2 linked regions of the Saccharomyces cerevisiae S288C genome follow. The protein of the gene in region 2 binds, or shares a complex with, the protein of the main gene of each other region. Each region holds a gene or a part of one and is shown on either strand. Other genes may lie near its edges. A codon is read from its position in the direction of its gene.

Region 1 (10,926 bases), on a different chromosome or scaffold from region 2:
CTAATCCAATTGATGAAGGTATTTCACTACCTCCTAGAATGTCACAAATTTTAGCTGGCTTTGAGGGCTATTACAGCTTAAAATACAAAGAAAGAGTGCTAAAGTGGGCTCATCATCTAAGTGTAATTGAAATTGGCTGCCAATTTAATAGCGGTTACTACGAAATAAGTTTTTCTGTTTACGCTGGAGTGATTTTCCTTCTATTTGAAGATTATGAAGAATTAACGTTGGGGGAAATATATGAACTAACTCATATTCCCATAGATGACGTTAAGTCTCTTGTAATGTCAATGTCGACAATACCCAGATGTAAGATTTTGAAAAAATCATCCAGTTCAGGAAATATGAAATTTTCAGTTAATTATTTCTTTTCTTCTCCAAACAGGAAAGTGAAAGTGCCGGTTATTGCATGCCCTCTACCATCTCAGAAATCAGATAATTTGGCAACCGCAAGTTCCGTGGACACTTATGATAATGAAATTGTTATGGAGCTTAGTGCTATTATTGTTCGTATCATGAAAACAGAAGGTAAGCTAAGCCATCAGCAATTACTTGAAAGAACTACGAAACGGACACAGTCTCGGCTCAGTCTTACACCGAGCATTTTGAAACGAAGCATTCAGCTTTTAATAGAGAAAGAATACATCCAGAGAAACGCAGATGACCCCTCTTATTACCATTACCTTTCCTAATTGCTTATAATGAAAATCACAGGTATAAGGTTTGCAGAATGCCAACAGTATATATAGATGGCAGTTCCTATCCGGCTGCCAGAGCGAACAATATTAAGAGGATATGCGTCGATACTAATTGAATGTTCATCCTGCATTCCTTAGTGAAACTTTCAAAATATATAATAACATAGTTATGGTAGACTATATATCCCAGTCAAACTTGAATGTAATGTGGAGTGGGTAATCGATATCTCTTGAAGTTTATTATGCCTCATTATATTTTTATAAAAAACTTCTAGGAATTTGTTGAGTCAAATAATTTCTTTCTTAATCATTAAGTAAGTTAAAGTTACGAGCCTTTCAGACCTGCGTAGCACTGCTTCAAAGGAACTATTATCAATAGCAGCGCCTTGCTCTTTTTTTTTTTTCAGATGCTTAGCGGCCGTATTTCACTTTTCCTGGTAGAAAAATATATGTTGAAATTTACGGTATAAGAGAAGCTCACCAAAATTATTATCAATAAAGCGGCACTTTTAAATTTGGTATTCTTCCCTGGTTGTCAAGCCTTGGTTTCCCTTTATTTGATAGTATGAGCGAAATAAATAATGAAAATCTAGAGCCAACCTCAAGTACAGTAGCTGAGTCTACAGAAAGCAAGAATAAACACATTCGTAGCGCTTTAAGAAAACGAAGAGGTAAATTAAGCGCCCAAACTTATGAGGAAGATCAAGAGGCTATTTTATCATCTCCTTTATTGACTTCAACACCTAAAACAGTCTCCAGGTCATTAGTGAGGTTATACCCATATTTAATTGTTGTGGATAACTTTCTAAGTATCATCACTTGGTCCAATGACAATGTCTCTGCAAACTTGCTTGGAATATTCTTATTTACGGTTTGTGTTCTATATTTTGGATTTATTACAAGGTATTTTGGACATTTAATGATCGTTGGTATAATATGGGTATATCTTTTAATTGACAAGCACGTTCAAGAAACAATGGCATCTTGCCCTTCATTGGATGATATAATACACGTTATGGATAGGGTTTCTATGAAATCTAGCGCTGTGTTATCTCCTATTACGATTTTGAGCGCTCAGGATGTTAGAAGACTGTTATTTACCATTGCCTTCCTATCCCCAGTTTATATTTTTCTAACAGTGTTTGTGCTATCTCCAAACTATTTAATGTTAATAGGGGGTCTGTATGTGCTTACGTACCATTCTAAACTAATCCGAAGAATGAGAAGATACTTGTGGAAATTTCGCGTTGTTAGATTACTTGTATTTTTCATAACAGGATTAGACCTTGGTGGACCAGATAATAATAGGCGCTTGTTTGCTTCTGTCAATAAGAAAATAAGGTCCTTTGTTTGGAATGAGGTAGGGAACACATCTAACACTAAAAAGACTGTACTTTTCAAGGTTGCTCTGTTTGAAAACCAGCGCCGCTGGCTTGGCATCGGATGGACATCAACTATGTTGAGTTATGAGCGCGCATCTTGGACAGATGAATTCCTAAATACTTCTCCAAGCCCAGAAGTGTTTACTTTACCAGAGGAGCAGTCGGGAATGGCTTGGGAATGGCACGATAAAGATTGGATGCTTGACCTAACAAATGATGGGATCATTCAACTTCCTGCTTCTGCTGCTAAGACAAAAGTTAAGCCAGGTGCAGATGAAGGTTTCATATATTATGATAACACCTGGAATAATCCCTCTGCAACGGACACATATAAAAAGTACACAAGAAGAAGGAGGTGGATCAGGACTGCAACAGTAACAACAACGTATGACGATGAGCCCACTGTAGAAAAAGCTACACCGAATTCTCATGCTCTGAAGAGTGAAGAAAATAATAGAGTTAGAAAAAGAAAAGTGTCATTTAGTACAGCAAATGAAGTGCATATCATACCTTCCTCGGACAGTAGCAAATTAATACAAATATCTGATGTTTCAATGTCTCCTTCTCTATAATGAGTGCATGCCCCATATGGACAACAACGTTCACACTGGTCGGTGCAAGGGCACACAGCAATCTCAGAGTTTCTTTCATTGGCTGCATGGAGCACAAATTCAATCTTGTGCTTTAAAGTATCTGCGCGGTTATGGCAAGTTCTCCATCAGTCTCTTATTCCAGCAAGCATTCTTTTACGGAACTTCAATGCATCTAAATACATATGTACAGATAGCCAAAACTAATAGAGACATAATAAATTAAACAAAACTGTAAATTTTAAAAAGAGTATATATAGGGCTCAAGAAACTGCGTAAATATAAAATTAATGAAGAAAATCTGATTGTCAACTAAACGACATCTTCCATTTCTATTTCATCTTCCAAGTCAGCCTCCGCGTCTCCTTGCGCATTGTCTCCAGCGGAACCTGTTTGCTCATCAGCTAGTTCACCTAAGGTTGCCTTTCTCTCCTCCTCTTTCAACTTTTTATACTCTGGCCTTAAAGTGTATTTGAATGCATATGGGCCCTTCTTCACTAGAGTGGCAACTTTATCCAAACACTCCTTTAAATGTGCTTCAGGTTGCCTAGTACGTTCCTTCAACCCCTTCAAGGACCAGTAGTCATACTCATCAAATAACTTGAACAAGTAATCCAAGATTTCCTTCTTTGGCATACGAATAGATTTAATATTGCTCTTGGCCTTCTCACGCCCCACTTTCAAGAAATTCGAGTTGTCTGACCTCATGGACATACCTGTGTGGCTCATCGTAACACCAACGGTTTCATCCAAAGTTGTGATCCTTTCCTTATTATTAAGCTTGACAATATTTCTTCTCTGTTCAACAATCTTGTGATAATTAGGATCATTCATTGATGGCATAACCTGACATTCGTGGCAAACTGTACCCACAATGGCGGTTTTTTTGGGAATCGTCTTCACATATGGTATATATCTATCTCTACCATCCCTATCTGTCATAACTCTGTGATTAAACTTTTTTCTATTATTTCTACGTTTTTGCTGCTGCTGCTTCTTCTTAAGTTCCTCTTCACGTTCTTGCTTCTTCAGGTAAGCTTGCCTTTGCTTTTCAGGATCTGCTTCCAACTCCTTTTTACGTTGTTGATATTTCTTTAAATTTTGTTCTGTGAAAACATATTCATTTTCTACTACTTTCTTTGTAAGTTCTAAATCATATTCGTGCGGTATAGAATCGTTATCATTTTCATTCAATAGAAGTGTGATTTTACTCCCATCCTTGTTTATCCTAATTTTACCCAGTTCTTGGCCATGCAAGTTGTTTCTGTCCCTCCATTTCTCTGCTAGAAACATGGGCAATCTAACTAACCAGACTTGTCTATTACTACGTTCCAAGTCCAAATCTAAGGATTCTTCATAAACTTTGGTTTCATTATTCTCAATATCATTACCGTCAAAAACTTCCTCCTCTTGCGAAAGATACTCATCACCGGAAATGTTACCTGATTTCTCCTTCGCGACAGAGTTCGTGGAATTATTAGAAAGTGCTGGTGCCCCTGCTGAACCACTGCTCATGGTGTTAAGTTGGTCTTCTATTTTACTCTTAATATTGCGTTATGCGTTGAAGCCAACAGCATATGTCTTATTCTTCTAATTTCAAGCCTGATAATTTATTCATTTCGCGCAAGGGAAGATGAAAAAGTTAAGAAGAGAATCGACCTTTGGAAAGGGCCCCAATGGAAAGAACTTCAATGTTTTTTCCTCTACAAGTAATAAGAGCATAAAATGGACCTAGATCTAGCCAGTATCTTAAAAGGTGAAATTTCTAAGAAGAAGAAAGAGCTGGCCAACTCTAAAGGTGTTCAGCCACCATGCACTGAGAAATTCCAGCCACATGAATCCGCAAACATAGACGAAACACCGCGACAGGTAGAACAAGAAAGTACAGATGAAGAAAACCTGTCAGACAATCAGAGTGACGATATTAGGACCACCATTAGCAAATTAGAAAATCGGCCAGAAAGGATACAAGAAGCGATAGCTCAAGACAAAACCATCTCTGTAATCATTGATCCATCACAAATTGGTTCTACTGAAGGAAAACCTCTTTTGTCAATGAAATGTAATTTATATATTCACGAAATATTATCTCGTTGGAAGGCGTCTTTGGAAGCTTATCATCCGGAGCTGTTCTTAGACACTAAAAAAGCACTCTTTCCACTCCTACTGCAACTACGAAGGAACCAGCTTGCCCCGGATTTACTTATTTCCCTTGCGACCGTTCTCTATCATTTACAACAACCTAAAGAAATAAATTTAGCCGTTCAGTCCTATATGAAACTCAGTATCGGCAATGTGGCCTGGCCTATTGGTGTTACTAGCGTAGGCATTCATGCTCGTAGTGCACATTCGAAAATTCAAGGAGGCCGGAATGCTGCTAACATAATGATTGATGAAAGAACGCGATTATGGATTACCAGTATTAAAAGATTAATAACTTTTGAAGAATGGTATACCAGCAACCACGATAGCTTAGCCTAATTGTTGAACTATTGTTTTCGTTATCGCGTGGCACGATATCATGCGGCCAAAATAAGAAGCAAGAATGCAGATGTTGATAGCCTTTGTTCAATTTTCCAGAGACAAATGCTTTACAGGATCGGGACTTGAAATATACTGACTGGATGACGGTAAACTTAGATCCGGATAAAGTTTGGATAGACGGCTGCTTTGATTTCACACATCATGGGCATGCGGGAGCCATTTTGCAGGCTCGTCGAACAGTTTCAAAAGAAAATGGTAAACTATTCTGTGGTGTGCATACCGATGAAGATATTCAGCATAACAAAGGAACACCAGTAATGAACTCTTCAGAAAGATATGAGCATACTAGATCAAATAGGTGGTGTTCGGAAGTGGTTGAAGCGGCGCCATATGTTACAGATCCCAATTGGATGGATAAATATCAGTGCCAATATGTTGTTCATGGTGATGATATCACCATAGATGCTAATGGAGAAGACTGCTATAAGTTGGTGAAAGAGATGGGGCGCTTCAAGGTAGTTAAAAGAACATATGGCGTAAGTACTACCGAGATTATACATAGAATATTGACGAAAAAATCTTTGCCACCGACTCATCCTGATTATTATCCCACCACCCAGGAATTGAGTTTCTATTCTGTCGCCCAAGATGCCGTTTCAAAACATTGTTATGTCTTTCAGAGGGATTTGGACAATGTCTTGGTCAATGGTGGATACAAATTCGATGCAGAAGATTGTGTTTATGTTGACGGGGATTTTGACTTATTCCATATGGGGGATATTGATCAGTTAAGAAAGCTGAAAATGGATCTTCACCCCGATAAGAAATTGATTGTTGGTATTACCACAAGCGATTACTCGAGTACCATTATGACGATGAAGGAACGCGTCTTGAGCGTTTTAAGTTGTAAATATGTTGATGCCGTTATTATCGATGCTGACGCCACCTCAATGTCTCAGTATAACTGCGAGAAGTATCATATTGGCACGGCTGTCCTCACTGCTGCCGGAAAATTCAGTGAATACTTGACTAAAGAGCTTATTGTGAAGAGGGTGGAATCGCAAAGGGAGGTTTACATTGCGAGGAACCAAAAAAAGGGAATGTCCATATAAACAAATGTTGAAAACTTCTTCGAACGTAAATTAAATGGATGTAAGAAAACTGTATTACATAAGTCATGAAGTAGGCATGCAAGTATATACCTATAGATGCATATAAATCAGTGGAGAAGGCCACTATCCTTCAGAGATCAAAAAACCTTTTTTTATCTTGAAAACGCCCTCATTCCTTTTGGACGTTTTCAAACTTTTGTTCATGCGATTGCAAATTTGAGCCTCTTCTATCTTTCTTGAACACTGGGGGTATTTCACCATTATCAATTAAGTCATCAATCTCATCGCCTGGCTTACCCCAATTACCCTTGCCGGAACCTTGCTTCTTGATGTGATTTGGAGATTCACCGTAGTTACCAGTGTGCGAAAAGTACTTTGGATCAGCCTTTCCTTCACGTTCGGTCCACTTGTTTGTTCTCGTCATTTTTTCTGATTGGTTGTACACTTGAGCGGTTTGTTACTGTTGATTGTTCGTTTATTTGTATAATTGAGTTTACACAACAATTGTTACAATAGTATGGGTAATTAGGGCCAAGAGAGTGACAAAAAGCAAACTTATAAATAGTCCTTTTATACAAATGACAAGTGTTCGCTTCTGCGCTCGCAGCCCCCTGTTTTCGAAGGAGTTTCTTAGCCTAAGCTAGGCAGGCGCGCCCCCATTATCTATCCCTTCATTGCTTACTGAGAGGTTTTCCTCCCCCCCTCCGCGTATATTTCCTCCGCTGGAGAAAATTAGTTGTGGGACGGATAGCATCACTTAATTCTGTACCTTTTTGAAACTGGCTTGGTACTTTCTGTTGGATAGCAACATTTCCCGCTGGGATACTTCAACATGGGCTATGAATTTTCTTTTGTCTTTTATCTTTTATCTTTTATCTTTTATCTTTAAATTATTTGAGCTCGGTTAAGTTCATAACTATTGCGTGCCCGAATGGTATTCTTTCAATTCACAACCAAACATTAAAATGAAGAAAGCATACTCTTATATTATATCAATGTCTTTTTCTTTACTTATTTGTCTTTGCTCATAAATTTCTACATAATGGTAGTAATGGTGATGAAATGTTGTTACTTGTGATATATTACATAGTTTTTACAGGCATATTCTATCTGATACCTGCCAACCTGTTGGTATTCATATGGAGATTGATATCTAGATCATCAGTGCTTTCCTCAATGTTGTTGAGACGTTTTTGCTGAGAGTCTAATTCTTTACCAGTGGTCAAGGCCATTTTCTTCAATCTGTTGCTAACCTGCTGAATCTGGTCCAAATTCCTATCAATTTCCAATTCCATTTCGTCATCTTCTTCATCATTCTCAAACTGATATCTCTTTGCCTTTTCTAGAACATTCTTCCTCTGATATCTTTCCCGCACCTCACTTATGTTATTATTTGCGTTCATAGCACCCTCTATTCTTTGAGTGGACTGAGACAATTGTTGACTTGTTTGCTCTCTCATTAATTTTTCTTCAATTTTCCTATTCTTCAGCTGCTCTTCCCTCTCCCTTCTCCTTCTCTTGGAATTAAACGGATTAGAAACATGGACAGCCAATATACTACGGTTCAATTTTTTTAGTTCTGCAACTTTTTCATCTGCAACTTTATTTTGCACCTTCATTAAATCTAAGTTTCCTTCTACGTTATTCAATTGTTCACTTTGATGACCCAGCATACCCAATGTGTTCATACCTGCTCTTTCGGCGTCTTGAGCCATTTTTAGTGTATTTCTAGTAGAGGCTACGGAACTCTGTTTCGTAAATTTGATCTCCTGCTTGATTTCATCTACTGCTTCATCTTCTTCCTGCTGCTGGCGAGCCTCCTCTTCTTTTTGTATTTCTTCAAATGTTTTGTAACCCCTTTGATCTCCATATTGGTTATTTGTTGCGTTAAAGTGTTGCTGTTGCTGTTGCTGCTCATCCATGAACCACTGTTGCTGCTGCTGCTGTCTTGAACTATGATCAACTTCGGACGCATTTAAATCTATTGAATCTTCATTCGTCATTACTGCATTCAAATCAGGCTCATCTAATGCCGCTCTATTTTCTGCAGACTTGTCAGCATAAACTTCTTCAAAATCAAATTCACCTGTTCTAGGTTCTTCATTTAAATCAACTTCACTATTGCGTGCTGCTTCATCAGAAGCAATAAAAGAGGGCGTATAAGTCATTGGAGCTTGTTGCGATTGCGGTTGACGCACACTTCTACTAGAATATGGATTTGCAGACCTGTTCAAATTTCCATTACTATATGAGTCGTTCGCCATAGAGGCGTATGGATTTGCATTCTTGGAGCTTCCTTGTCGAGTACCGCTAGATCTATTAGTATTGGAGTCATACGCCCCGCCATAACTATTCATATCAGCGTAAGGATTTCTCTTTTCTTGCATCGGGTTTGCTAAGGGACTTCTTTGGTCAAGCGATAAGCTGTTGGTCGACGTTGAAACCGGCGGTTGCCTTGTTTGCCTCGAAGGCCCTACGTTTAAAGTGCTGTTTGAATGATTTAAACTATTACGGCCATTCGCATTCACCCAGCTGTTTGAAGTATTTTGGTTACTATACGGGCCATCGTTATTATATGAATTCAGAGATGTGCCATTGTACCCCCCTCCATAATCACCATAAGGCGCAGCATTGACGCTACCTCTCCCATTACTTTTATTAGCTTGAAACCTTGCATAAGGATCGTCATCATATCGGTAATCATCATTTTCGATAGCGTACGGATCTTGCATAGAATTGGATTCTGCTCCATTTCCGAGATCTTGCGTGCCACTTGAACCTCTATTAGAACCAGCAGTTGCCTCGTTAGCATTGGCATCTAAGGGAGAAGCATTCAAATCCTCAAGTTCATCCTGTGGCCTAGCATACTGCTCATAACCTGGTGGCGCGTATACCTTATCTTCAGCTTTATCATTTGCAAATTTACCGTAGGCGGCAAATTTCTCTTTTCTTTTCTTGCTAGGGTTTTTGACACTAATACCCAGTTCCATCAAAGTATCCTTGTTCTGTTCTGGTGTCGCTTCCTCTGGAGGCTTAATCTTAAAAAATTTCTTTAATCCCATTCTTTTGGTGTCAATGGTGTATTATTCCGAGTTACTCCAGGCTAGGTTCAGGAGTACCAAGAATGTACTTTATTTATTTATACACCGGAGCAAGTCATATAATTACGCAAACGATTCGAAATTGTTAAAAGCAGGATCAACGTATCTCATTTCTTTTTGAAAGACGGGTAATAGAAAGTCTCTGAGTCGCACCCCACATGGATATCGTACTATTCGTATATGGAATGTAAAATACTCGCAATACGATTTTATTTAGCTTCACAATCTCTCAAACTTATCGTCTTGATCAATCTTTACGTTTTACCAAATAATCGCCTGTTTCTGGCCATTTTTTGCTTATACCATCTACCATACTCGCTGTCCATATGTGACGGTGTCGTCTCCAAGAAAAATAACAATGTAAATTGACCCAGCGTGACGACAGTAGACTGTAAGTTATAGTACAATCATACTCTACCTTAGTCACTGTTCCTCCACTGTTAAGTAGAGAGAGAGAGAGAGTTTAAAGTGGAGAAGGCAAGAAAAAGTGCACTTATTACGTAATGGATCCCACCAAAGCACCCGATTTTAAACCGCCACAGCCAAATGAAGAACTACAACCACCGCCAGATCCAACACATACGATACCAAAATCTGGACCCATAGTTCCATATGTTTTAGCTGATTATAATTCTTCGATCGATGCTCCTTTCAATCTCGACATTTACAAAACCCTGTCGTCAAGGAAAAAAAACGCCAACTCAAGCAACCGAATGGACCATATTCCATTAAATACTAGTGACTTCCAGCCACTATCTCGGGATGTATCATCGGAGGAGGAAAGTGAAGGGCAATCGAATGGAATTGACGCTACTCTACAGGATGTTACGATGACTGGGAATTTGGGGGTACTGAAGAGCCAAATTGCTGATTTGGAAGAAGTTCCTCACACAATTGTAAGACAAGCCAGAACTATTGAAGATTACGAATTTCCTGTACACAGATTGACGAAAAAGTTACAAGATCCTGAAAAACTGCCTCTGATCATCGTTGCTTGTGGATCATTTTCTCCCATAACATACCTACATTTGAGAATGTTTGAAATGGCTTTAGATGATATCAATGAGCAAACGCGTTTTGAAGTGGTTGGTGGTTATTTTTCTCCAGTAAGTGATAACTATCAAAAGCGAGGGTTAGCCCCAGCTTATCATCGTGTCCGCATGTGCGAATTAGCATGCGAGCGGACATCATCTTGGTTAATGGTTGATGCCTGGGAATCTTTACAATCAAGTTATACAAGGACAGCAAAAGTCTTGGACCATTTCAATCATGAAATAAATATCAAGAGAGGTGGAATCATGACTGTAGATGGTGAAAAAATGGGCGTAAAAATCATGTTATTGGCAGGCGGTGATCTTATCGAATCCATGGGCGAGCCTCATGTGTGGGCTGATTCAGACCTGCACCATATTTTGGGTAATTATGGATGTTTGATCGTGGAAAGGACTGGTTCTGATGTTAGGTCCTTCTTGCTTTCCCATGATATCATGTATGAACACAGAAGAAATATCCTTATTATCAAACAACTTATTTACAATGATATTTCCTCTACGAAAGTG
Region 2 (11,258 bases):
TGTTTATCTATGGGGTTCAGAGTGATAAGGGGCAGGATAAGGAAGTTAAAAAAAAAAAGGTTACGTTATATAACGAAAGAAAAGAAACGAGCGAAGTGCCAACTATAGCCCAATATCAAGAATGCAAGTCAGCAAAGTACAGTAATCGTATGAAGATACGCGATGCGTAATATCCCTCAAGGGCTCCGGATCAGAAAAGCTAAGGGAAGATCCTTACATTACACGGCGTGCGACAGACTCGAACCACAGCTAACTTCTCGTGAAAAGATGGCTTCAACTTCGCTCTTGCAATAACTTTGAAACACACGAACAAAGGTTTATTGCGCTTGATTAACGTTGGAAGTATATGATACTAATACTACTTTGTTCTCTAAGTCATCGCTATATGTTTATCTCGAGGAAAAGGTGCACGGCGGTACACAATTACTTCGCCGTTTCGGGTAAAACAAGTGTTACATTTATAATATATATGTATATATGTATGTGCGCGTAAGTATATGCCGTTCATAACAAATCATCTTCTTGTTGCTGGATGGACTCCTTAATTTTATTCAAAATGGTAATTTTCCATTTATCTAGTCTCATAAAATTGTCAAACTCCTTACAGTGTTCGCTTAGCTGCTCGCTATCACCTTCATTAACAGCATCGATTAAACTTTTCAAGAAATTTGACTCCCTTGAATCCGCAAAATTCGGATCTTCACTTTGACCCTCTTGTAAAGTTCTTGCAGCAGCGACTGCATCAGTAGCAGCTAGCTGACAAAGCCCTTTTTTTAGGAAGTAATCCTTCAAACTCCATTGGCTCAATCTATTGCCCATGCTGCTCTTGATCAACTTCGAATATATATCACTTGCTTCAATATATTGACCGTCAAGAGCCTTTAGATCTGCGCATTTGATAAAACACTTATTCGATAATGCTACCGACTGGTCTTGGGCATACCACTCACCAGCGAGCTCATAGCAATCTATAGCTTTTGCATAGTCATGCAAATCATTTTCTAGAATTTCTCCAAGCTCAAACTTGAAATTAGCACCTCTCCGGAACTGCCCCCTATGAGTAAAAATTTGAATAGCATTTTCTAATGAATCCACGGCGTTCACAGAGTTTCCACCGCTTTTAAAGCATTTATAAGCCTCTACGTAGGTATTTCCTGCTTCGTCTTCATTACCAGCCTTTTTCTGATAGTCAGCAGCTTTCAAAAACGAGTCTCCTGCCAAGTTTAACTCTTTTCTTAGACGGTAAATGGTGGCTGCTTGGACACAAAGATCAGCAGCCTCCTCAAACTTGTATGAATCAGAACCGCTAAACAATTTCATGAAACCCGATGAAGGAACACCCTTCTTCTCAGCCTTAACACAACGGGAAATATCAATTCCCGTATTTCAATGTTAGTAATTTGCCTTCGTAAATTACGGAATCACATAGCTTTCATTTTGTTCCTTTGATATATTTCCCTACTACATACTCTTTTCAATAACTCTACAGGGTCTGACATTTTTAACTTTCAGGTTAATGATGGTGTTCTTACTATATTCTCGAGTCGTACAGAAGTTAGTTCAGATAAACTGCTTCGGTGCTGCCCACTTCTTATCATTACTTCAACTTTACCTTCCCTATACCTGTGTGTCCTTATTAATTCAAGTTAATCCGAGGTAATAGATTAGGGTAACCTTCAATGATGTCACGAAACACGGATGCTGCAACTTTGCGATTTTTTCCTGGAAAAGAATAACAATTAAAGGCAGCCTTTCAGCTGAGATTACCAGCAGGTCTTTGGAGATTAGCGCAAGAAGAAGTGTGATATAGTACTCATAGAGGCAGGCTACAGACTAGGGAAAGCGTGTTCAACAACAATAAGAAATGGAGACCAGTTCTTTTGAGAATGCTCCTCCTGCAGCCATCAATGATGCTCAGGATAATAATATAAATACGGAGACTAATGACCAGGAAACAAATCAGCAATCTATCGAAACTAGAGATGCAATTGACAAAGAAAACGGTGTGCAAACGGAAACTGGTGAGAACTCTGCAAAAAATGCCGAACAAAACGTTTCTTCTACAAATTTGAATAATGCCCCCACCAATGGTGCTTTGGACGATGATGTTATCCCAAATGCTATTGTTATTAAAAACATTCCGTTTGCTATTAAAAAAGAGCAATTGTTAGACATTATTGAAGAAATGGATCTTCCCCTTCCTTATGCCTTCAATTACCACTTTGATAACGGTATTTTCAGAGGACTAGCCTTTGCGAATTTCACCACTCCTGAAGAAACTACTCAAGTGATAACTTCTTTGAATGGAAAGGAAATCAGCGGGAGGAAATTGAAAGTGGAATATAAAAAAATGCTTCCCCAAGCTGAAAGAGAAAGAATCGAGAGGGAGAAGAGAGAGAAAAGAGGACAATTAGAAGAACAACACAGATCGTCATCTAATCTTTCTTTGGATTCTTTATCTAAAATGAGTGGAAGCGGAAACAATAATACTTCTAACAATCAATTATTCTCGACTCTAATGAACGGCATTAATGCTAATAGCATGATGAACAGTCCAATGAATAATACCATTAACAATAACAGTTCTAATAACAACAATAGTGGTAACATCATTCTGAACCAACCTTCACTTTCTGCCCAACATACTTCTTCATCGTTGTACCAAACAAACGTTAATAATCAAGCCCAGATGTCCACTGAGAGATTTTATGCGCCTTTACCATCAACTTCCACTTTGCCTCTCCCACCCCAACAACTGGACTTCAATGACCCTGACACTTTGGAAATTTATTCCCAATTATTGTTATTTAAGGATAGAGAAAAGTATTATTACGAGTTGGCTTATCCCATGGGTATATCCGCTTCCCACAAGAGAATTATCAATGTTTTGTGCTCGTACTTAGGGCTAGTAGAAGTATATGATCCAAGATTTATTATTATCAGAAGAAAGATTCTGGATCATGCTAATTTACAATCTCATTTGCAACAACAAGGTCAAATGACATCTGCTCATCCTTTGCAGCCAAACTCCACTGGCGGCTCCATGAATAGGTCACAATCTTATACAAGTTTGTTACAGGCCCATGCAGCAGCTGCAGCGAATAGTATTAGCAATCAGGCCGTTAACAATTCTTCCAACAGCAATACTATTAACAGTAATAACGGTAACGGTAACAATGTCATCATTAATAACAATAGCGCCAGCTCAACACCAAAAATTTCTTCACAGGGACAATTCTCCATGCAACCAACACTAACCTCACCTAAAATGAACATACACCATAGTTCTCAATACAATTCCGCAGACCAACCGCAACAACCTCAACCACAAACACAGCAAAATGTTCAGTCAGCTGCGCAACAACAACAATCTTTTTTAAGACAACAAGCTACTTTAACACCATCCTCAAGAATTCCATCCGGTTATTCTGCCAACCATTATCAAATCAATTCCGTTAATCCCTTACTGAGAAATTCTCAAATTTCACCTCCAAATTCACAAATCCCAATCAACAGCCAAACCCTATCCCAAGCGCAACCACCAGCACAGTCCCAAACTCAACAACGGGTACCAGTGGCATACCAAAATGCTTCATTGTCTTCCCAGCAGTTGTACAACCTTAACGGCCCATCTTCAGCAAACTCACAGTCCCAACTGCTTCCACAGCACACAAATGGCTCAGTACATTCTAATTTCTCATATCAGTCTTATCACGATGAGTCCATGTTGTCCGCACACAATTTGAATAGTGCCGACTTGATCTATAAATCTTTGAGTCACTCTGGACTAGATGATGGCTTGGAACAGGGCTTGAATCGTTCTTTAAGCGGACTGGATTTACAAAACCAAAACAAGAAGAATCTATGGTAATATATACTTCCATTATTCTATGATTATAGAGTTTGTTTGGTATTTGTATATCGCACGATACAAGTAATGAGGGGTGCTTACACAAGATAAAAGATAAAAAAATATATATATATAATAAAAACCATCAAAAACACCATTGAAAAAAAATATAAAAAAAAAAAAAAATAACCGAATATGAATATGAAATTAATGATCATGATGAAGTTAATTTTTACTGAGAAACGTCACCTAATGTCGATGAAACGATGATAATGAATGAATGATGAGGCTACTTTAAGTAACGCAATGTAATCAAGCCAAAATTATCCCTCTTTTTTTTTTTTCCCTCTTTTGAGATTTTATTTTTAACCTACTACTTACTTTTTTTTTTTGAACGTTCTTTTCCCACATACTTTTATATATGGTATTTATATGTACGATGTTTAATCACAGAGATGTTTCTACCTTACTCGATATTGTTTTTGCATTAATTGATATCTTGCTCACTGCATCATTGGCGGTATTTGTAGTATATAGAAAGTCGGGTAACAATAATTTATTGACATTTCTTTGTTTACAATGATCAGAGAAGAGCAGAAAGTTTCATAGTCAAACGTTCAGGCCAATTGAACAAGAAATTATTCGTTTTTTTAGTCGTTGAGTGTTCAACTGACATGCTATTTTGGTGGTTCTTGATTAATTGGGGGCTTCATTGTTTGAAATAAAGAGTCGGGAAAATAGCACAGAAACAAAGCATATTAAAAGAGGCAAAAGAAGAAAGAACGAATATAAAAGGTAAAAAAGGAAAAGCATTGCTATTCTTTTCTCATAGGTGTTATTCATACCGCCCTCTCTCTTCTTCCTTCTTCATTAATTAGTCTCCGTATAATTTGCAGATAATGTCATTAACAGCAAACGACGAATCGCCAAAACCCAAAAAAAATGCATTATTGAAAAACTTAGAGATCGATGATCTGATACATTCTCAATTTGTCAGAAGCGATACAAATGGACATAGAACTACAAGACGACTATTCAACTCCGATGCCAGTATATCACATCGAATAAGAGGAAGTGTTCGGTCTGATAAAGGCCTTAATAAAATAAAAAAAGGGTTGATTTCCCAGCAGTCCAAACTTGCGTCAGAAAATTCTTCTCAAAATATCGTTAATAGGGACAATAAGATGGGAGCAGTAAGTTTCCCCATTATTGAACCTAATATTGAAGTCAGCGAGGAGTTGAAGGTTAGAATTAAGTATGATTCTATCAAATTTTTCAATTTTGAAAGACTAATATCTAAATCTTCAGTCATAGCACCTTTAGTTAACAAAAATATAACATCATCCGGTCCTCTAATCGGGTTTCAAAGAAGAGTTAACAGGTTAAAGCAAACATGGGATCTAGCAACCGAAAACATGGAGTACCCATATTCTTCTGATAATACGCCATTCAGGGATAACGATTCTTGGCAATGGTACGTACCATACGGCGGAACAATAAAAAAAATGAAAGATTTCAGTACAAAAAGAACTTTACCCACCTGGGAAGATAAAATAAAGTTTCTTACATTTTTAGAAAACTCTAAGTCTGCAACGTACATTAATGGTAACGTATCACTTTGCAATCATAATGAAACCGATCAAGAAAACGAAGATAGGAAAAAAAGGAAAGGGAAAGTACCAAGAATCAAAAATAAAGTGTGGTTTTCCCAGATAGAATACATTGTTCTTCGAAATTATGAAATTAAACCTTGGTATACATCTCCTTTTCCGGAACACATCAACCAAAATAAAATGGTTTTTATATGTGAGTTCTGCCTAAAATATATGACTTCTCGATATACTTTTTATAGACACCAACTAAAGTGTCTAACTTTTAAGCCCCCCGGAAATGAAATTTATCGCGACGGTAAGCTGTCTGTTTGGGAAATTGATGGGCGGGAGAATGTCTTGTATTGTCAAAATCTTTGCCTGTTGGCAAAATGTTTTATCAATTCTAAGACTTTGTATTACGATGTTGAACCGTTTATATTCTATATTCTAACGGAGAGAGAGGATACAGAGAACCATCCCTATCAAAACGCAGCCAAATTCCATTTCGTAGGCTATTTCTCCAAGGAAAAATTCAACTCCAATGACTATAACCTAAGTTGTATTTTAACTCTACCCATATACCAGAGGAAAGGATATGGTCAGTTTTTGATGGAATTTTCATATTTATTATCCAGAAAGGAGTCAAAATTTGGAACTCCTGAAAAACCATTGTCGGATTTAGGATTATTGACTTACAGAACGTTTTGGAAGATAAAATGTGCTGAAGTGCTATTAAAATTAAGAGACAGTGCTAGACGTCGATCAAATAATAAAAATGAAGATACTTTTCAGCAGGTTAGCCTAAACGATATCGCTAAACTAACAGGAATGATACCAACAGACGTTGTGTTTGGATTGGAACAACTTCAAGTTTTGTATCGCCATAAAACACGCTCATTATCCAGTTTGGATGATTTCAACTATATTATTAAAATCGATTCTTGGAACAGGATTGAAAATATTTACAAAACTTGGAGCTCAAAAAACTATCCTCGCGTCAAATATGACAAACTATTGTGGGAACCTATTATATTAGGGCCGTCATTTGGTATAAATGGGATGATGAACTTAGAACCCACCGCATTAGCGGACGAAGCTCTTACAAATGAAACTATGGCTCCGGTAATTTCGAATAACACACATATAGAAAACTATAACAACAGTAGAGCACATAATAAACGCAGAAGAAGAAGAAGAAGAAGTAGTGAGCACAAAACATCCAAGCTTCATGTAAACAATATCATAGAACCGGAAGTACCTGCTACTGATTTTTTTGAAGACACTGTTTCCTCCTTAACAGAGTATATGTGTGATTATAAGAACACAAATAATGATAGATTAATCTATCAAGCGGAAAAAAGAGTGCTGGAAAGCATCCATGATCGCAAAGGGATACCAAGATCAAAATTTAGTACAGAAACTCATTGGGAGCTCTGCTTCACTATTAAAAACTCCGAAACACCACTTGGAAATCATGCAGCTAGGAGAAACGATACTGGAATATCAAGTTTAGAGCAGGATGAAGTAGAAAACGATGTAGATACTGAATTATATGTAGGTGAAAACGCCAAAGAAGATGAAGACGAAGACGAAGACTTTACCCTTGATGATGACATTGAGGATGAGCAAATATCAGAAGAAAATGATGAGGAGGAAGACACATATGAAGAAGACAGTGATGATGATGAGGATGGGAAGAGAAAAGGACAAGAGCAGGATGAAAACGATATAGAAAGCCACATAAGGAAGGAGAGAGTCAGAAAAAGAAGAAAAATAACTCTAATAGAGGATGACGAAGAATAAGCGGCGATGGGTATATATTGGATATAAGCATATACATGTAACATTATTAATAGCAATAAGAACCCTTGTAGTCAATAGTATTACAGAATTCTCCTACGAATAAATTTTATGTGTATATATAAAGATATATATGTGTGTGTGTACATGTGTGGGTGCGATTAATTTGTACTCATTAAACGAATAGTCAAAACAAACTAAATTCGTCTCTTAGCTTAAAATATATTTTTAAAGATAGAATTTATACCTGGAAGTTCATCTTGCTCATTGCGTATGTCATTTGCGCTGGTCATAGAAGAAAGCTCACTAGACTTTGGATTATCATGTTTAGCCTCTAACATACCGTAATTTTGCGATTGCTGCGATGGCGTGTTAATGCCATTCTCCTTGTGCAGTGGGTCAATGTCATCCTCCTCCTCCTCGTCTTTGCATCCTTCATTTGTATGAAAACCACTTACACGTCCTTTTCTCTTTAAATAATCCATTCTTTGTTGGATTTCCAACTCGGATCTATTATTAGGCAGAACAATAGAAATTTCTAGCGGCGACAAATGGTTTTGTTTGTCCTTCGTATTGTTAAGTAGCACTTCATCATCTTCTCTAGACCACGGGTGTTTATTAGCGAATTTTTGCATATCTAAGAAAGTCCTCGTGTGCGTGATTTTGTCATTTGCGTGGTCTGTCTTGCAGTTGGGAGACGCTATGGGGTTAAGATAGTATTGGTGCTGTGGATGATAATGAACGGATTGCGATGTAGATAACCTTCTGGGTGACATATACGGGCTAACTACCAAGGAAGCTCTTCTAGAAATAGGCTCCGTAGGAGCGTGAGAGTTGAAGGATGATCTTCTTGAATGCATCATGTTAAAAGATGATCTTCTAGAAGAAATTACGGAATGCGAGTTTTTCCTAGTCTTCGTCGTTGAATGAGGGATTTGAGTTGAAGGAATAAAGGAGTTCCTTCTAGACCTGATAATAATTTTAGGCACAAGACCAATATTCTCATAATCATTGGAATTAACAGCTTTATTTGTCTTTGCTGAAGTAGTGTTATAAAGGCTTAGATTTGTCTGCTGAGCAGTCTTTACATTAGGCGTGTTGGTTGTTATAGAATGAGAGAAGGACCTTGGCTTAACAAACAGTTTCCTTGGTTTCGTGTGTTGTGGCTCATGGTCCGAAAATGTTGATGTAGATCTTTGAGTTATCAGTTTTCTGTCCATGTATTTAGGCTTAACTAATGGCTTGAAATCCGGTGGAGAATCCTCGATAGCACTAGAACCTGCAGTAATATCTTCATCCTCAACAGCTTCCTCTTTTACGGCTTCTTCCGCAGACGGAGTACCCGCGGATGGGGTAGCATCACCAGTCGCATACACGCCGAATAGCTTATTGATGTCAATAACTGCGGTCTTGTTAGACTTTAAGTTGCCTGATTTCAGTCTCCTCCATCTGAATTGACAAGCGTTAGGAGTTCTATTTGGGAAATGATGTGCAATCTCCTTCCAGCCCAAGTTCTTGATCTCTTTCAGGTGGCGGAGCTTGATATCATCACTAGGGTCCCAAGAAGAGGGGTTGTTTTTTTTGAGTGATTCCGCCTCCTCCTTGTTCGTGCTGTTCTCTTTAGTGCTAGTGCTACTGATAGGCAGGTGGCTCTTCGCATTTGTGTGAGAAAGTGAGTGGGAATGGACAAGATTATTTGGGTGAGGGTGTTTGCTTAGTATTGAGAAACCATGTGAGTTGGCACTAACATGTCCTGATGAAACAGAAACGCTACTGAGTTTCGGCAACGTCATCGCGAGGGAACTTCAATAAGAACAGTGATATATTCTTTTCTCTACCCACTGTCGTGTATATGCCTTCTTGAGTGAGTAGTTTTAATGACTCAAGCAGTGGAGATTTGCCAGATTTGTTTACCTGAAAACAAAATGATATGAAAAGCCTTTATTAATATCAACGTACAAAAACTATACACGACTTCTGTGTAAGGAAGTAGAAAAGTGTCTCATCGCATTGGTCTCGCATCTCATCGCATCGCATCTCATCTCAATTTTCAAATTTCAGCTCTCAGCAGAGAAAAAATTTTTTTTTCACCGGACCAAAAATAGCCTCTCTCACCCACAGATAACGTCGCACACTAACAAGATGATGAGACAAGATAGGCCAAACCGCTCAAAAAGGAACTCGAAGAAGAACGGAAGTGGAGTTTAACTTTAGAACCTAACTGCTACTAAGTGTTGATACGCTAGGCAAGACACCTGCGAAATCCCGCTGCGAAATACCTGCAAAGAGGTTGCTAAACAGCAGCCAGAAGACTTGCGCTAGTAACGTTCCTGAAAAGCTTTGCACTGCAGGCATTTCTGAGCCTTTTCCGGCCTTCTAGAAGGCTTAGCCCCTACTAACGCCGGGTTACTTAGAACAGCACTCTTCTAAGAACAATCTTTCCAGCATGCTGGAAGGGCCCAGTGGTGATGTCCTGGTAGCAATGGACAACTAAAGGTGGACACTTTCGCTGCCAAGGCATTTTTTTGAGGCGCCAGTACTGTTATAGTTATATGTGGGGCATCTTATTGAAATCCTCGAACAAAAGTTGTTCTAGGCTCTGGAAACCAATTTTGACACAATATTATAGCATGACATCAACTGCCACGGATTCTCCGCTGAAATACTATGATATTGGATTGAATCTGACAGATCCTATGTTTCACGGTATTTACAATGGTAAGCAGTACCATCCAGCAGATTATGTAAAATTATTAGAGCGTGCTGCTCAGAGGCACGTGAAAAATGCCCTTGTTACAGGATCATCCATAGCGGAGTCTCAAAGTGCCATTGAGTTGGTAAGCAGCGTCAAAGATCTTAGCCCGTTAAAGCTGTATCACACAATAGGTGTTCACCCATGTTGCGTTAACGAGTTTGCGGATGCTAGTCAAGGGGACAAGGCTAGCGCTTCTATTGATAACCCTTCCATGGATGAAGCATATAATGAGTCTCTATATGCTAAAGTTATTAGTAATCCATCTTTTGCACAGGGTAAACTGAAAGAGCTTTATGATTTGATGAATCAGCAAGCAAAACCTCATGATACAAGTTTCAGGTCAATTGGTGAGATCGGGTTGGACTACGACAGATTTCACTATAGTTCTAAAGAGATGCAAAAGGTTTTTTTTGAAGAGCAACTGAAAATAAGTTGTTTGAACGATAAACTCAGCAGCTATCCATTGTTTCTGCATATGAGAAGCGCATGTGACGATTTTGTTCAAATATTGGAAAGATTTATTGCCGGGTTCACTGATGAGAGGGATACCTTTCAGCTACAAAAGTTAGGTGCATCGTCGTCTAGCGGGTTTTACAAATTTCATCCAGATAGAAAACTAGTGGTCCATTCATTCACTGGTTCTGCGATAGATTTGCAGAAATTACTGAACTTATCACCCAACATCTTCATAGGAGTAAACGGTTGCTCGTTGAGAACCGAGGAAAATCTAGCTGTTGTAAAGCAAATACCAACAGAAAGGTTGTTATTAGAGACAGATGCTCCGTGGTGTGAGATTAAAAGAACGCATGCATCTTTCCAGTACTTAGCCAAATACCAGGAGGTTAGGGATTTCGAATACCCTGCATTCAAGTCCGTTAAGAAAAATAAGCTCGCTGACAAGTTGAATGCAGAAGAACTTTACATGGTCAAGGGCCGTAATGAGCCTTGTAATATGGAACAAGTAGCAATTGTCGTATCGGAAGTCAAGGACGTGGATCTGGCTACTTTGATAGATACCACGTGGAAGACGACCTGTAAGATATTTGGAGAGTAACATCTATTGGTGCAAAGAGCAAAGTTACATTATTTTTAGTAAGTACACTAATTATGCTTAAACTATTAATAGGAAAATTATGGTGCGCATATACATACAGTCGATATTGCTTTCATTTTTTTTTTTTTTTTTTTTCTATTTTTTTCATCAAAAAGGATTCAAAGGTTACCAACAAAATAAAAACAGAGTAAGGAAAAACAGATGTAT

What was found.
Region 1: the proteins of SEC17 (region 2) and SEC9 are in contact, whole or in part, in a cryo-EM structure (PDB 9CRU), measured with the Saccharomyces cerevisiae proteins. Residues at the interface, in NP_009503.1 of Saccharomyces cerevisiae: Arg114 (codon at 1,044), Gln152 (codon at 930), Ser153 (codon at 927), Val154 (codon at 924), Ala155 (codon at 921), Leu156 (codon at 918), Lys159 (codon at 909), Arg192 (codon at 810), Leu193 (codon at 807), Trp196 (codon at 798), Arg236 (codon at 678), Phe266 (codon at 588), Arg268 (codon at 582); in NP_011523.3 of Saccharomyces cerevisiae: Lys449 (codon at 7,984), Gln452 (codon at 7,975), Asp453 (codon at 7,972), Glu455 (codon at 7,966), Met459 (codon at 7,954), Leu462 (codon at 7,945), Gly463 (codon at 7,942), Met464 (codon at 7,939), Gly466 (codon at 7,933), His467 (codon at 7,930), Glu470 (codon at 7,921), Asn474 (codon at 7,909), Asn478 (codon at 7,897), Gln600 (codon at 7,531), Gln603 (codon at 7,522), Arg607 (codon at 7,510), Met611 (codon at 7,498), Thr614 (codon at 7,489).

Annotation. Positions count from the first base shown.
Region 1 is NC_001139.9:501,675-512,600, forward strand, and holds SEC9 (Sec9p), read right to left. Parts: upstream 9,329-10,926; coding exon 7,373-9,328; downstream 1-7,372. Other genes in the region: cullin CUL3, read left to right, coding at 1-692; PEX31 (peroxisome biogenesis protein), read left to right, coding at 1,264-2,652; transcription factor IIF subunit TFG2, read right to left, coding at 2,983-4,185; mRNA splicing protein PRP18, read left to right, coding at 4,396-5,151; ECT1 (ethanolamine-phosphate cytidylyltransferase), read left to right, coding at 5,295-6,266; STF2 (ATPase-stabilizing factor family protein), read right to left, coding at 6,436-6,690; nicotinamide-nucleotide adenylyltransferase NMA2, read left to right, coding at 9,871-10,926. UniProt on the Saccharomyces cerevisiae protein: Component of a SNARE complex that may be the effector of SEC4 function in exocytosis.
Region 2 is NC_001134.8:115,366-126,623, reverse strand, and holds SEC17 (alpha-soluble NSF attachment protein SEC17), read right to left. Parts: upstream 1,500-11,258; coding exon 1,470-1,499; intron 1,354-1,469; coding exon 505-1,353; downstream 1-504. Other genes in the region: PIN4 (Pin4p), read left to right, coding at 1,865-3,871; SAS3 (histone acetyltransferase), read left to right, coding at 4,750-7,245; TOD6 (Tod6p), read right to left, coding at 7,458-9,035; YBL055C (3'-5'-exodeoxyribonuclease), read left to right, coding at 9,795-11,051. UniProt on the Saccharomyces cerevisiae protein: SNARE complex protein that binds to cis-SNARE complexes on membranes and is required for vesicular transport between the endoplasmic reticulum and the Golgi apparatus and for homotypic vacuole fusion.